Linked DNA regions of Oryzias latipes. The protein of the gene in region 1 binds, or shares a complex with, the protein of each later gene. Links are inferred from orthologs where the notes say so. Each region holds a gene or a part of one and is shown in the gene's direction. Other genes may lie near its edges.

Region 1 (8,489 bases):
ATAGGTTTCCGTGAACGGTGGAAGTCCTTCAGCACCCTTTCCACATCATTATGCAGCTTAAAGTCTTTGCCATCCTTCATAAAAGAGGATCTGAAGAGTCAAGATACATCCATTAGTCTTAGTTCTTTGCGTTCAGTCACACCAGCTTTTACCTTTGTGTGTTTTCAGTCTTTTTTTTTTTGTGGTTATGTTCCTCACAGATTCTTAGTGATGCCGTAGCCTCCAGGGAAGATGACGGCATCAAAGCTGCTGGCATCCAGGGAAGACAGGTCCTGCATTTGCATCTTTCCCTGCCCGTGGCTGAAGCGCGCTGACTCAATCATCATGTTCCTGTTTATCAGTCAAACATGACCAAAAGTAGTTCCAGTCAAGTTGAATATCAAAACTATGACATTAGGGAAGAACAGAGCTCTTCTTAAGCGTGTCAAATGAGTGGCTCCAACCTGTTCTCCCCAGAAGCTGGTTGCTTTTTCATGTGGTCCATCACGTTCATCTGCTGTTGATTTGGGGCAAAAATCTGGAAGCGAGCGCCATTTCTGCTCAGGTGGTACATGGTGCTAAACACAAGTGTTTCCAGTTATGGTCATTCACTGGTGTACAAAACTTTCCTGATCTTCTCATACTCACTACACGCCCTCATGGACGTCAGTTCCATCCCACCATCCGCATCCAGAGAAAACCTAGAGTATAAGGAGAAATTCCAGCAATGTGTGCCATGATCTCATTACTGATCTCACAAAGTTCTGCTTAACCTACCACAGCGACATTGGTGTTTCCCCAGTTGCCATAGTCACCCTGGTGAACAAAGCAGGCAGGCTGGCGGAAAAAAACAGCCAGTGTTTGTTTAGAAAGCAAAGCCCTGGTTCCCAACATGGTTCTGCTTTGGTCTCACGGCTTTGAGAGGAGAAATGAAACGTTGGAGTTTCTCACAGAGCTTTCCACGACCTCTGATAGTCCTGATATTGATCCGAGTGAAGCGGCCTGTATATATACCTCCATAGTGCAGCCAAAGTGACGTGGCCACGTAAGACCATTGTCTTATCACACCTGCACTTGTTTCCCCACTGAACTCCCTTACCTACGCCATTACCGCCTTCACCGCTCCCCTAATCAACTTATTTAACCACAGAGGGACGCCTCCTGACAAATCCAATCAATATCTTTGTTTGCCTTTGATCTTCATGGGATTTGCTGGTGGAGAAATTGTGTTCAATGTTTAAAGCAGCTGAGTGACATTCCATATGCCCTTTAAAGTCCATTAGATTGTAAGGCTCTTACTCTCTAGTAATGCCATGTAGCGTCTAGACGGTGAACCCAGAAATATCCTTGGCAGATGGAAAAGACAGATCAAATTTAAAGGCTTCAGTTAGTTAGTGGAAGGCTGACATTTGGTTAAACTCCTGGACGCCTCAGTGGGATGTAAACCAGCAGGACGCAAAATATGACTTTGACTTTATTAGAATCAGTTGATGTAAGCAATCAATATGTACATACTGCTGACAGTATAGCAAAGATTAATAGTGGAAAAATGTTGTAAAACCAACTCGAAACACATTAGCCACAATTCCAAGTCTGAACTAAGTGAGAAGATTTGGGCTGAAACGTAAAAATTGCACACTAAAGAACTCATGCATGGGTACAACATGATGGATCCAACACACAGTCACAAAATACAAATAAGAACAATTCAAAGACAAAAAATAAAAAACAAAATAACCTTACATACTCATCCTGCAAACACTTTTCTTGGGCATCTCCCTTTCTTTACGCCCCCACCTTACAACAAAAACACCCACCCGGGCTGTTTTTTTTTCCTTAAACGCCCAAAATCTCACCCCCCCACCAAAAAGCACAGAATAAAAGACACAGAATATAACCATAGACAAATGTCTACAAAGCAAAAGAACAATCAAAGACAAAAAGAAAAGTATGTGCAATAAATAGGGTCAATTTTCATAAAAATAAAAATTTAAAACAATCTCGTCAGTGTACAGATGAATTTGCATCTATGGTGCATCTAAAAATAAATCATACATATGACAAGCACATCAAATGAAATCTAAATGCTGCTTAGCAAAGCTCCATCTTTCTCCAATTACATCAACAATCTGCTAAGAGCCAGTGTGGCTTTGGCTGCATCATCAAAATCTTAGGGAGTACTGGTTTGCACTCATTGCTTTTTTTTTTAATTTTACATGTAAAGACTAAATTCTGCAAGTCATTTAAATGCAGATATTTAACCAACCCCATGTTGAAATGAAGAATTCCCTTCTAAATGTCTATCACCACCAAATAAAAGCGTTCATGCACCTCAGCACTTTCATTGAATGAATCTGTGCACTAAAGGTACACAAACTGTTTTCGTTGCCAAGAATATTTGCAGAGATATTCATTTGATAAAGAATGTGGTTTGCGGGTCAAGCAAACAGCTGTGCAGAGAGGAAAGACAACCCAAGGCCATGTCGCCGCTTTTTGCTGGCATTATGGTGTGTAGGCAGGAGGTGGCTGAAACTGGTTGGCAATGTCATAGTCAGCAGGGAAAGTCTCGCTGCTGTCCTCCATTTCTGAGAGCAGCTCCAAGGCCTGCTCTTCCTCCTCGGTGGGATAATGGCGCAGGAGGTTTGCAGCAGTGGCTAGAATGGAGGCTCCACCAGCACCTGCCACCAGGTAGAAGCTGATGGCAAAGGTGACGTAAATGAGAGAGCCATGGTACTTTTTGTGTTGCTGCTGCAGTGACAAGATCAGTTCCGATGCCCAGTAGCAAAAGCCTATGACTGTGGCACACTGCAACACTGGAAAGACAAAGAAACCAGTTACATTGTAGCAATGTGTTTGATCTTTATTAGAAATGAAAACAAGCACTGTAGATACCTGTTAGTATATGTGCAAAAGCATATCTGCGAGTTATCTTTAGGGCAGGGTGTTTGGGTCCAAACACATCCAGGAGGAACGCAGTTAGACTGCACAGGATGCCAAGGAAACAGAAGGCAGCTATTACCCTTAGCAGCAGGATGGTCTGCGGATTCACACAGTAATCTGAAAAGACAGACGTGCCACAAATTCATATAAATTAAGGCACTCCATGATCCTCAGCTTAGAGTGGCAACGACTTTGTGCTGGTTCTTACCACCCAAAAGATTGGGATCAACGTATCCCAAGACATCTGCCACCCCGAGTTCTTGTCTCGGGCAGGTGCCTCCGTGAATCCGGAGCCAAGCAGGTTCAGCCAGAGCCGTGCACAGCGCTGTGATGGACAAAGCTCCGGGCAGGGCCGACACTAGACTCCGCTCCGGCTGTTTGGGAAGTGAGGTACCGGCTCTCCTCCTCCGACCTCCGGAGACAGCGGGACCCGGTGGGGCATACATAGCTGACCGAATGGCGAATTTTCTGTTGAAGTGGTAGGTTCCTCTTAGCACTGTCTTCCTCTTGACAGTAGTACCGGGTTATTGTGGTATTAGAGTAAAACTACGGCAATTGTCTTCCAGGATATGTCAAAGATTTCGGTGGCGATAAAAGTGCTCAACAATATAAAAACAACAATAACCGCTTCCCTAAAGTAGTCAAAAAATATTAAGGAAAAGCCAACACAAAGAACAGATCCTAAGCGGGCCTTTAGCTCTGTTGTTAGCCTCTGAAGCTAACTAAAAAAAATAAACACTTTACGTCACCAGTTCTCGGAGGAAAGACACTTTTTAGCGAACGAATGGGAAAAAATATAACCTGTAAACATCAAATCCCGCTGATAAAACCGTCCGTCTCTATGATACAAAAAGGAACACAAAACAAAACAAAAGATAGCTTACGCTGTTTTCCTCAAAATCCCTAACTTCCTGTATATGCCATTCTTCTTCGTGACGTTTAGAATGTTTGCTGTACACTACCGCCCCCAGCGGAAACTAAAATAGAAATGTACACAATGTTTAGCATGAAATTTTCTTTGCAAACAGTAATGTAAATATAGATTCATATTATAAAAATACATATATAGGTAGATCACTTTCTTTAAAAATATATAAATGAAATATTACCATCAAAACGTTTTATTTTAGATCAACCCATAATGCACCGGGTCCAGATCCCGATAAGCAAACATGGCGGCATTTCCTAATTTGACGCTTCTTTGAACTTATCTGTGTGAACAATTTTCCTTGGTTAATTTCCCCCTCCTTTTGTTTTAATGTTCATAAAGGTGTATTAATTTACTCGCAGTCCTCTTGTCTGTCGTTTTCCTCATTTGTGACTCTTTTTAGCCTAAATCTTTGGTTAACGGAAATCGAGAAAAGTGTCGAGTCGACGCCTGACAGACAGAGGAGTCACGTTTGCTGGAGCTCTGCCATGAAGGAGGCTATTTCTCTGGTGCAGAAACTCAGCGCACACCCAGATTCTCGGTGCTGGTTCGTCAGTTGGAGCCCGAGCGGTGCGCTGCTGGCTTCGTGTGGTGGCGATAAGGCCATCCGGATATGGGGACAGGAAGGTCAGACTCAGACAGACAAAGAGCCTTCTATTCGAATTTTGCTACGCCGATTTAAAATCAGTGGTTGGATGACCTTACCTTTTTTACAGTTCATGTTTTCCCTTTTCAAGGTGACTCTTGGGTTTGTAAAAACGTTCTGCAGGACGGACACCAGCGCACTGTGAGGAAAGTAGCCTGGTCTCCCTGTGGGAACTATCTGGCCTCCGCCAGCTTCGATGCGACGACATGCATCTGGAAAAAGAAGAACGACGACTTTGAGGTAAGGTTCGTTTAACCTCTGATCTAACACGTGTTCTGGCTCCACCTGGACTCTTTTCTTGTCTTCTAGAGCTTAACTGTGTTGGAAGGTCATGAAAACGAGGTCAAATGCGTGGCGTGGGCCCCTTCAGGGACTTTGCTGGCCACTTGTAGCCGAGACAAGAGTGTCTGGGTTTGGGAAGGTTTGTGTCCTCACCAGCTCTTGCAGGACAATCCTTTGTCACAGAAAACATATAGAGCTGGGTTGTAAACCTTTGTTTTCCTTCTTCACAGTGGACGAAGAAGATGAGTACGAGTGTGTTACAGTGGTGAACTCGCACACACAAGATGTAAAGCATGTTGTGTGGCATCCCACGCAAGAGGTAGGTCTGCACTCAGTCCTTCACCATCATGTAGTTGTTTTATTATTGTTGCTATTAATTGTTAAAGTGCATCTTTAGCCATATTTATGATCTACGTGCTGTTTTTAATAGAGCCATGGTAACGACGTTTGTGGGATCAATAAAGTTGTATTTTATTCTATTTCCGCAGCTCTTGGCTTCTGCCAGCTACGACAACAACATCTGTATTTACAAGGAGGAGGATGATGACTGGGAGTGCAGGGCCACTCTGCAGGGACACACGTCCACCGTCTGGAGTTTGTGTTTCGACGTGACGGGACAGAGGCTGGCGTCTTGCAGCGATGACCGCACTGTGAAGATTTGGAAGGAGTATCCAAGTGAGAGTGGTGAGAAGATAGAGGGGTAGTTTATGACATAAATAAAAAAAAATAGGATATTTTTTAATCACAGAATGTTTTGTTTGGTCTGCTTTATTAGGTGATTTGTCATGGAAGTGCGTTTGCACTCTGTCGGGTTATCATGGACGAACAGTGTACGACATTGCCTGGTAAGACTAAATACTTACACTACAGCAGGGGTGTCAAACACACGGCCCGCGGGCCTTATCCGGCCCGCCAGGTGGTTTACTCCGGCCCACACATGAAGAGTAAAAATCAAAAGGATGATTAAAAAAGAAAGCAAGTTTCTAGTCCATTCCTGTGGCGAATTATGATTTTTTAAAGAAATAACAGAAATGTGCAATTCCGCCACTAGGGGGAGTAAAGGAAAAGAAAAACAGTTGAAACAGCAAATATCTGCATGTGCCAAAAGCGAAACATAACAGCTCTGCGTCTGGGTAGGATGCACCTTGGTTCCCTATGAGCCTTACCGCTGTTATCTTGCTATAAGGATGATCATTAGCGACACCCTAATGACCAAAATGCTGTCAAACGTGAAGTGGAGGGAAGAGCCTTCCAGGAAAATTGGACAGAGTTTTTTCTTTTTTTCACGAAGCTGAATGTAAAACCCAAATGCTTTGTATGTCATCAACATCGCAGTGCTCAAAGAATATGACATTCAGCACCACTAAGAGACTTATCATAAAGAAAAGTTTCTGGATTGCTTCAGTGTCAGATGTAAAATATTCAGACTGCATTAATTTGAATAGACCAACTTTTCTTTAATTGAAATTAATTTTATTTGAGCTCCATTGGCCCCAAGTGATTAGGCTACTATGTTGATTGAGACATTTTTTCCAACTGAATAAAAAACTAAAACAAAGCTGTTATTTTGCTTTTATGTTACTGGTCCGGCCCACTTGAGATCAGACGGGTTAAATGTGGCCCCCGAACCAAAATGAGTTGGACACCCCTGCACTACAGTCTGGTGTCTGATTTTTTTTTTTTTACTTTAAAAATAGATTCTATTTACAGAGTTTTTAAAAAGTTGCCAAAACAGATTTTCTTCTTTGCTTTTTTGGCTGTACCACCACTAAAACAGCGCTTGTCATCAGTCGGCTGAATCTTTGTCCCCTTTACTATTATGGCTCAAACAACTGTCTGTTGCGTAGGTGTCGACTGACCGGTGCCCTAGCAACTGCCTGTGGCGACGACGCCATACGAGTGTTTAGGGAGGATCTCGCGGCCCATGCAGATGAGCCGGTGTTCTCGCTGGCTGCTCAGGTGAAGAAGGCTCACTGTCAGGATGTGAACTGCGTCGCCTGGAACCCAAAGGAGGCCGGCCTCCTGGCCTCCTGCAGTGATGATGGAGACATTGCAATTTGGAGGTTTCAAGAAGAAGACTGAACCTGCTGTGGAGACACCAGCAATTGGATGAAACCCTGTGCTGAACTTAAATGTTCTTTTCTTTTGCTATATAAAGTCATGCTTATACAGTTATCTTTATAAATCTGAATGATTGTAAAATGTAAAGTTTAAGTTCTATTTTTATTCACAAAAGTGATGATGGGTGTGCTGGTTAACTGTTTTTAGTCCTACAACTTAAAAGGAGCAAGAAACTAGTTCTGTTCTGTTTACATCTAAATACATCTTTATAGCAAAAAGCAGGTTTTCTGTAAAAAAATGATTTAAATAAAGCCTCAAACCCTTGGAGTGATCGGAGACTGTGCATAACTACTGTACACCCAAAAAATGGAAAATATATATATATATATATCCCCACACCTGAAATGTCTGAATAAGCTTGCAAAAATGTATTTTGGAAACGGAAATAAGTAACTGCACTGAATGAACTTGTTTTCAAGTTTGGTAGTTGGGTTTACCTTTGTGCTATCTTAGACGACCCCACCCTTACTTTGACGTGTTCTCCCTACCATGATAAAGGTGGAAAGATTTCATGTAATCCATGGACACCAGTGAAGATCACAAATCATTGAAGAAAAAAAGGTTCAGAGCACTGTCTAGTGGGTCTAGATGACCCAACTCCCAATGGTAAAGTGCCTAGGATAGCACAACACCACTATCAGTAGTCAAAGCTCACCAACTGGCTTGCACTGTTAATTTAACCCTTGTGCTATCCTAACATTGGGAGTGGGGTCATCTAGACCCACTAGAAAGTGCTCTGAACCTTTTTTCTCCAATGATTTGTAATCTTCTCTGGTATCCATAAATTACATGAAATCTTTCCACCTTTATCATGGTAGGGAGAACACGTCAATGTAAGGGGGGGGGGAGTCGTCTACGATAGCACAAGGGTTAAACCCAACTACCAAACTTGAAAACAAGTTCATTCAGTGCAGTTATTTCCATTACCAAAAGACATTTTTGCAAGCTTATTCAGACATTTCAGGTGTGGGGATATATATAGGGATAAAGGGAGGGGATCAAGAACAATCTTGTCAATATCCATTAAGTGCTGTAGTGACATGAGCTTGTAGCATAAAAGGGGCCAGACTAAGAACTAATTGTTTCATAATAAAACTATAAAACAATTTTCAGATGTTTTTATTGCAAAAAACAAACAGACAGCATGAATGATTAAACGGTTTAACCAATCCAAAAAATCTTATGACGTTTAACCAAAGTAAAATGGAAAGTCTAATCTATTTAAACATGCAATGTGGATGAGACTCAGCTGTTCAACGGCAGTTTAAGATGTCTTAGACTTATCTTTGAATAATTTTGTGAAAAGTACATCAATGGTCAACGTAAAGAACACAAAACTTCTGAAAAGCTGTTTAACATACAGGATAAAACGATTGTACTGACTACGAAAACATGTTATAACACCCACAGAGAACTGACAGGGTCACTCTCAGAGATTGATCGGGGTAAATATCTACATATAAAACCTGATCCCATTATTTATTGAAAAAAAAAAAAGGATTAAAAATGTAGAATTTGAATTTCCAGCTTAATCTGAATCGCTGTCGCTGTCTGCCTCCTTCACGTCCACACTGAACTTGTACTCCTGATCAC
Region 2 (7,384 bases), on another chromosome or scaffold:
AAGTAATAGATGTCACCAGAATGCATCAAATTGCACCATATTAAAATTTTCCGGGGGGGAATGCCCTAAAGTTAAGGCGTCCGTCGCTTTGGGTGCCGCCTGCGGCGGCGGGTCGCGCTGTGTGCGGTGTCGGGCCAGTAACTTTCTGGCAGGGCCAGTAAATTTCAAAAACCACTGGCCCAAATTTCTGAGCTATGTCAACCCCAGCCTTCTCCTTGAAAGCGACTTCAGTCCGATCTGATCCTCAAAGGCGCTTTTTCCTGCCGTTCAACAGATGTGATCCGATCGATCCGGGACCCAGAGAAACCCAACACGCTGGAGGAACTGGAGGTGGTGACGGAGAAATGTGTGGAGGTCCAGGATCTGGGAGAGGACGAGTACCTGATCATCATCAAGTTTTCCCCCACCGTCCCTCACTGCTCCCTTGCTACTCTCATTGGTGAGTAACTGATGGAGACACGAGGACAGGACCCAGAGCCACAAGAACAGAGGACCTGACCAGGAGCTGAACCGGAGTTATTAAATCTTTAGAAAGAAAAACATGACCTGTTGGTAATGAATATCCTATTTCCTGTTCTGTGAAAAAACTAACTCATCTGAAATGTTTAGCAATAGCAAAAAACTTTAACAGGTCTGCTTTTCTTGGTCAGGTGTTCTTTCCATTGCTGAGTAAAGTTTAACTTAATGTGTGTTCAGAGAATAAGTCATGTTTTTTGCAGTTTGGCCAGGGGTGCGACTTATACTGTGGAGTGACTTATTTTCTGATTAAAAAAAAAACTAATATATTTGTCATTTTCCCACTAAGAACAACTAGAGGGCTCAGTAAAGGGGTTTATTGGTAATTCCTACTGACAGCAACACAGAAGAAGCTCTGCTCAGTCCAGTCATCCATTCAGGCTTTCTTCAGTGGCTGTCGTGGTGCAAAGTTAGAGCGGTCGACCTCTGATTGGAAGATTGGATTGCTGGCACAACACTGAACTCCCCATTGCTCCTGGTGGTTATAGGTAGTGCCATCAGTATATGAATGGGACTGTGACTGTAAATCACTATGGACCTTCTAAGAAGGTACTAAAGCGCTATACAAGTATACACCATTTACCTTTTTTTCTTGACTATTAAACATACTACATAGCATATAATACATAGGTGTAAGGCCCTGAATCCCGGAAAAGACATTTAGATTAGGTTTGGTCGTTGTAGCTACAAAGTCATTCTGCTTCTAAATGGACGTGGGTCAGGGTGTTGGGTCTGCCGCCGTGAACAGGCTGGTTCTGGTCAGTGATTGTGATCACTGGAGCCAAGCAGCTGCAGTTGTAAACAGCCTGTACCACAAACAGATAAGGACTATGCTCAGGAATGCAGACTCACAGCAGGGGTGATTCATTAGAAATCATTGTATATAATCAGAGCGGTCCTAATGAGCACAAAAATACATTGTTGGATTGAACTAATAACACTTTCAAAAAGTTCCAGCTGCTATACTGAACATACATGTTTGTCACACATTTTTATTGTAAGGAAAACCATATTCTTAACTAATTATAAGATCATTATAAAAATGATATTATTTAGCATGTCAAATCATCGTGTGAGGCTGAAAGCTCTGTTGGAAAAGACACTTTCGAGGCTTCAGTTAGTTTCTATAACATACATTTAATATTGGGTTTTTGTTGATCTGTTGTTATGGTTAATCCCTAAATCTGAGCTTCCCTGATGATGACATTCTCGTGTCTGTGTGACAAATTCAGACTTGTCCTAGTTAGAACAGGTCAATTTTTTTTCTTATGTTTCCAGCTTAAACTCTGCCTATACAGCTTCGGCTAAGTTGGGCCTCTTTCTTGGAATAAGCTCCAGTGTCGGTTGTCTTCTGAACCTTGCTATGTTTGCAGGTTTGTGCCTACAAGTGAAGCTGCAGCGCTGTTTGCCTTTCAAACACAAGGTGAGCCTTCCTGTTGTCCAGCTGCACGCTGCCCCACACATGCATCTTCCTTCCTGCATTCACTGCGCATGCTTACAGAAAAACAGATGCAAACTTAACCACTTCAAGTGGAGCTCATCACTTTGTAATGGATGTGCTGTTTAGATGAACACAGTTCTTCATTGTTTGGCTCAATCTGTGAAAGGCTGAGTCTTAAACCACTTTCCACCCAAAGTCATGATCTGTATTTAGTTTTCGTGTGTGAATGGAAGAGAGTCCACTTTTGCACAGGTTATTTGGTGGCAAAAAGCATCAGTCTTGACAGCACGCTTAGCCAGCACAGGCTGTTCATTCCGTTGTACTATCCAGAAATATGCCAGGGTTTTAGAAGTAAACTCTGCCTACAGAGACCTGTCTGTGGGATTCTCTGTTAGGTTCTCCTGGTCAGATCCTGAAACCAAAGTAGGCACAGCAGTAAATGGGTTACGTATCCAGTCATGTGAGCCGTCAAGTCTCCTGGAGGTGACTACGTTACTGCGCCGCCAGCCCCAGATGTGTGTTAGTTAGTCTGAGGCGACATGCTCTCTCTAGGTTCAAGGCTCTGCATTCAACTCTTCACTCATCCCTTTCCACAGGATCATCACTGGCCGTGCTAGTTGCTGCCTATAGACTCATCAGTGCTAGCAAACCGATTTGATAAATACGTTTTTTAACCTATGAGGTCATGGTAAGAATGTCTTCAGCTGAGAGCTGACTGGTTGTCGAAGCTGGAGTTGGATGTTTTTTTTTTAATATCCAATTGTCCAATTCAGCATTGCTCTGAGAAAACTTAGTCACGTGCCAATCAAACATTTTAAACCGAATTACAATTTCTGATTGTTTCTCTTTCTCCTCTGATATACCCCCATGGCTTTTTGTGTACCCCAAGATTGCACTTACTGTAGTTTAAGAACTGCTGCTCCAGAGGTCACCACGTTAGCTTCAACACCTGAACATAAGTATATTTGGAAAATAGGAACTCCTGGTTCTGGTTCTAAAAGCAGTGAGTAGGCAGATAAGGGAAGTTAGTGTCTCATAGGGCTGCACGATATGAGGAAAACTTGCGATATGGGATATTAGTGATCAATATTGCGATAACGATAAATTTGCGGTAAATAAACAAATAGAAAAATAAACAAAAACATCATTCCCATTTCATTGCAACAGTTTAAAAATTATACTCCAAATGACCCTCATCGACATGGGGGACAAACGTCAGGGTGGCTAACCCTGGTCCTCAAGAGCCTCAACCCTGTTTTCCAATTCTCCCTAGACCAGAGGTGGGCACTGAGGGCCGCATTCCTGCATGTTTTCCAGCATACCCTGCTCTGGCATGTTCTAATTGGCTGGACACACCTGAACCAGGTAATAAGCCATGAGTAGGGAAAGGCTATCTTGAAATCATGCAGACACACCGGTCCTCGAGGCCTGGAATTGCCCACCCCTGCCCTAGACTGCTCGATAATGATAACCAAAATCAGGTGTGTTCAGTCAATCAGGATGTGAAATCACTTGAGTCAGCCAATCAACAGCAAGCTGGTTAAGGAGAGCTGGAAAACAGGCAGGGTTGAGGCTCTTCAGGACCAGGGTTAACATAATAGGCCTCCATCTGATTGGTCAACAATGGGAAGGCGTCCATCTGATTGGTCAAAGCATAAAGGGATTTATTTGATTCGTTAAATGCTTCAAGCTGCTAGAAGATTGTTTTAACACATTTTGGGTTTGCGATTTGTTGCGATATTCGCCATCTTTTGCGATATGCATATTGCAGAGCTGGATATTGCGATAACGATAAATTTGCGGTATATTGTGCAGGCCTAGTGTCTCATCTCTCTATCATCAGTACCAGTTTGTCTCTAGACCTTCACCTCTTTTCCTTCAGCGTAAACTGAAATTTTCTGTTGTCTGTCTTTTGTTTCAAGCTGGAAATTTACCTTTCAGAAGGAACCCATTCTACAGAGGAAGACAGTAAGTTTCTCTGCTGTCATGAAACTTCCCTCCATCAGGACACATGCATGTCTGTCTCATGTTCCCTGTTTTGATTTGTCACGAGCTTGGATGCTTTCATGCAACTTTTTGTCATTTCTATATTTTTCTGTGACCAGTAAACAAACAAATCAATGATAAGGAGCGAGTGGCCGCCGCTATGGAGAACCCCAACCTTCGAGAGATCGTGGAGCAGTGCGTGACGGAACCAGACGACTGAGCCTCAGTGTGTGTTTGTGCGTGATTGAATTGTCCATTTGAGCAAAGGACAGGATCAGGTTGGACCTTTTTGACCCAGAAGGAAAACAACTGTCCCTTTTTCCTTTTTTTTTTCTCATGCCGCAAGAGGGAAAATGATGAAAATGTTTTTGCGGAGAGAAACTTAAACTGATGCTTGAGAAGTTCTGATTTTCTTAAAAATGATTTGTACTTTTAGATGTTTTAAATGAATTAAAGCTGTTGCGTGTCAGTCTTTGTCTGAGGGGGTGGGGGGGCTAAAGGACATTTAAAAACAAAAGTAACTAAAGGCACATTCTATTCCCAGGGTCTTTTCCCAAAAAGCTAACTCAATAGAAATCCTGACCAAATTCAAGATGAGCTGTTTCACAAACTGGAAAAAGTCTGAGTTTGGTTTTGACTCCTCCCACTTGAGAGTCACACTTTCATCCCCACATAAAAACTGACGTGAGGCTGAGAGTGAATCATTTTTAGAGTTTCTAACAAACACTTTGCTATTCTTTTGTAAAAATAAGCCGTTGGTTTAGGAACAGAAAATGAATGCAGTTCTATGTTAGAAAAAAGTGATCTGCACTTATTGTTACTCTTCAATCTTATTGTCATATGCTCCGCACACTACAGATGCTGTTGGACACACTGAATGTTAATTACAAATCTGGGAGCCAAAATCTTTAAATGTGCAAACTTGACCACATCATTAGTTCATTATGGTATGCACATATTGATTTTTCTGTTCATCTTTGTGTCTTTTTTAGGGGAAGTTTTCCTCTAAGGGAAAAATGTCACATTTTGTTTATTGTACACACAAAATATTTGGAATAAAGTTTATGGCAATAGATTAATTGATTACAAATCCACCTCTGATTATTAGTTTCATTGTCTGTAGTAATATGGTATATACAGTGCTCAGCACTGTATATACCATATTACAATACAGTGTATTTTAGAATGAATGCTTGGATAGAAGTTCAAAATTCAACAAATGATCAAACAACTACCGCCCTGCCCCCCCATGTTTAACTGTGGATCCATACTGAAAATAGGGTTTAAAACTCTGGCAAGGTCCTATCTCATCACACATCGTGCAGTAGCTTTTGAGACTGTCAGACAGTCTCTACTGATGCCTGCATCTTCACTGTCTGTGACATGACAAGAATCAAAACCATTCCAAGGTTTTTGGGTTGGCCACAGGGACAAACATAGTTTTACAAAAACAGGCTTTAAATTGTAAGATGGCTACGTTTTAGTTTCTTTTTCTACGAGCTTTCTTAGCTCAGGTGACTTAATTATCTGCCTGCCATGAACAAAACGTAGATATTTGCTATTGTTTTGGTGGAAAATCCCACAAAATAAGATTTTGTGGACTAATCTTTATTTTGATACCATTTCTAGCAAAATATATAAACCCTTTTATACCGACGGCAATCATCAACTCTTCCTCCATTTGATTTTGGACTCCAGCCGCTAATAAGATCAACACGAAAATACCAAAGCGTAGTTCCTGATCTAGTGACCCAATGCAAAACTTCAGATATTTGAACTCTGGAAACAATGTGCTGTGCAGCCAAGTTTCTGTCACAGAGTGCAAATAGCTGAACTTTGGTGAAGCTTTGCATTGGGTCACCTGATGGAAGAGGAGATGATTGCAGTTTGTGGTTCTCCTGAACTTAATGATATTGTAATTGTATGGAGACCATACTGAAAAGGGTCTTGTTTTGTCTGCAGCTCCTCCCTCGCCCATGCTATGATTCTCTGATGCTATGTCAATGAGCTGTTTTGTGTGCGTCACAAGTATGTGACCACAAACTGGTTTAATGTCTGAAAATATTTTCACAGACCAGACTTTAAGATGTGGCAGATTAATACAACAAACTTAATTAATTGGACAGTCATTAAAAAAAAGATCATTTTAAATATAATAAAAGTCATGAATCAACTGTGAATGCAACTTTATCAGCAGCATCTCACAACAGAGCCAGTTTGTTTGTTTGGCTGAAAAAAGCTCTCCAGCTATTTAAAGACTGGTCAATGTTGAAAATAGAATTGAAAAAATATATAGAAGGAAGTTATGCGGTCGCTCTATCGGTCCGTCGTGGTGAAGAGAGAGCTGAGCCTAAAAGCAAAGTTCTCTATTTACCGGTCGATCTTTGTTCCAGTACTCACCAATGGTCATGAGCTCTGGGTCTTGACTGAAAGAACGAGGTCCTGAATACAAGCGGCTGAAATGAGCTTCCTCTGTAGGGGGGCGGGGCGCTCCCTTAGAGATAGGATGGGAAGTTCAGTCACCCGCGGAGAGCTCGGAGTAGAACCGCTTCTTCTCCACATCGAGAGGAGCCAGTTGAGGTGGCTCGGGCATCTAGTTCGGACGCCTCCCTGGAGAGGTGTTCCGGGCATGTCCCACTGGGCGGAGGCCCCAGGGAAGACCCAGGACACACTGGAGAGACTACGTCTCTCGGCTGGCCTGGGAACGCCTTGGGGTCCCCCCAGAGGAGCTGGAGGAAGTGGCTGGGGTGAGGGAAGTCTGGGCATCTCTGCTCATTCTGCTGCCCCCGTGACCCGGTCACAGATAAGCGGAGGAAGATGGATGGATGGAAAACTTAAGAACAGAGAAAAAAGTCAAGTAAAAAAACATACATTTATAGCCAAATTCATGTACTGCACATAAACATTAGTGCACTTCCACACTTCCTGAGATCCCAAGCAGCTTCCTTTCCTTGCTCCTCCGGCCCTGTCATGACACATGATGAAATGAGCTTCCACTTGATAGAGTTTTTCTATGAGCAGGTGGCATGTTTTTAATTAATAAATGTGTTATAAGTAATGTCACATTAAGGGATGTTTTCGGCACAATTGGACAAATTCAGAAAAGTTAAGACATGTACGGGCACAACCCGACATGTTTGTGTTAAGAAATGTTCATCCATGATCCTACATGTTAGTACATGTTCGGGAAAGTTCAGACATGTCTGATTTTCCACGTTTGGACGTGTTAAGACATATTCAAGCATTATCCGTCTTGTTGGGAAATGTTGTGCTTCCAGTGCTTTTGAGCACCTTACACCTTTTCTAGTTCCTAAAAATATTATACATGGGACGTTAATGACAACAGGATCTCTGGCCTGTCATGACACATTTTACATGACGTTATGTGAAACCAAAAATATCATCTTGAAGTCATAAATACTTATAATATCGTAGCCAAAC

What was found.
Region 2: ciao1 (region 1) and fam96a share a complex: the UniProt entries of both Homo sapiens proteins name them as parts of the CIA complex. The link is inferred for Oryzias latipes from reciprocal best matches to the Homo sapiens genes CIAO1 and CIAO2A.

Annotation. Positions count from the first base shown.
Region 1 is NC_019867.2:18,358,674-18,367,162, forward strand, and holds ciao1 (probable cytosolic iron-sulfur protein assembly protein CIAO1), read left to right. Parts: upstream 1-4,059; 5' UTR 4,060-4,335; coding exon 4,336-4,474; intron 4,475-4,584; coding exon 4,585-4,733; intron 4,734-4,802; coding exon 4,803-4,914; intron 4,915-5,005; coding exon 5,006-5,094; intron 5,095-5,263; coding exon 5,264-5,459; intron 5,460-5,550; coding exon 5,551-5,620; intron 5,621-6,622; coding exon 6,623-6,857; 3' UTR 6,858-7,167; downstream 7,168-8,489. Other genes in the region: ES1 protein, mitochondrial-like, read right to left, coding at 1-90, 199-330, 444-557, 628-680, 757-873; tmem127 (transmembrane protein 127), read right to left, coding at 2,482-2,792, 2,872-3,036, 3,128-3,365; snrnp200 (U5 small nuclear ribonucleoprotein 200 kDa helicase), read right to left, coding at 8,425-8,489. UniProt on the Homo sapiens protein: Key component of the cytosolic iron-sulfur protein assembly (CIA) complex, a multiprotein complex that mediates the incorporation of iron-sulfur cluster into extramitochondrial Fe/S proteins.
Region 2 is NC_019864.2:1,196,391-1,203,774, forward strand, and holds the end of fam96a (MIP18 family protein FAM96A), read left to right. Parts: intron 1-274; coding exon 275-439; intron 440-1,889; coding exon 1,890-1,939; intron 1,940-3,879; coding exon 3,880-3,925; intron 3,926-4,062; coding exon 4,063-4,163; 3' UTR 4,164-5,022; downstream 5,023-7,384. UniProt on the Homo sapiens protein: Component of the cytosolic iron-sulfur protein assembly (CIA) complex, a multiprotein complex that mediates the incorporation of iron-sulfur cluster into extramitochondrial Fe/S proteins.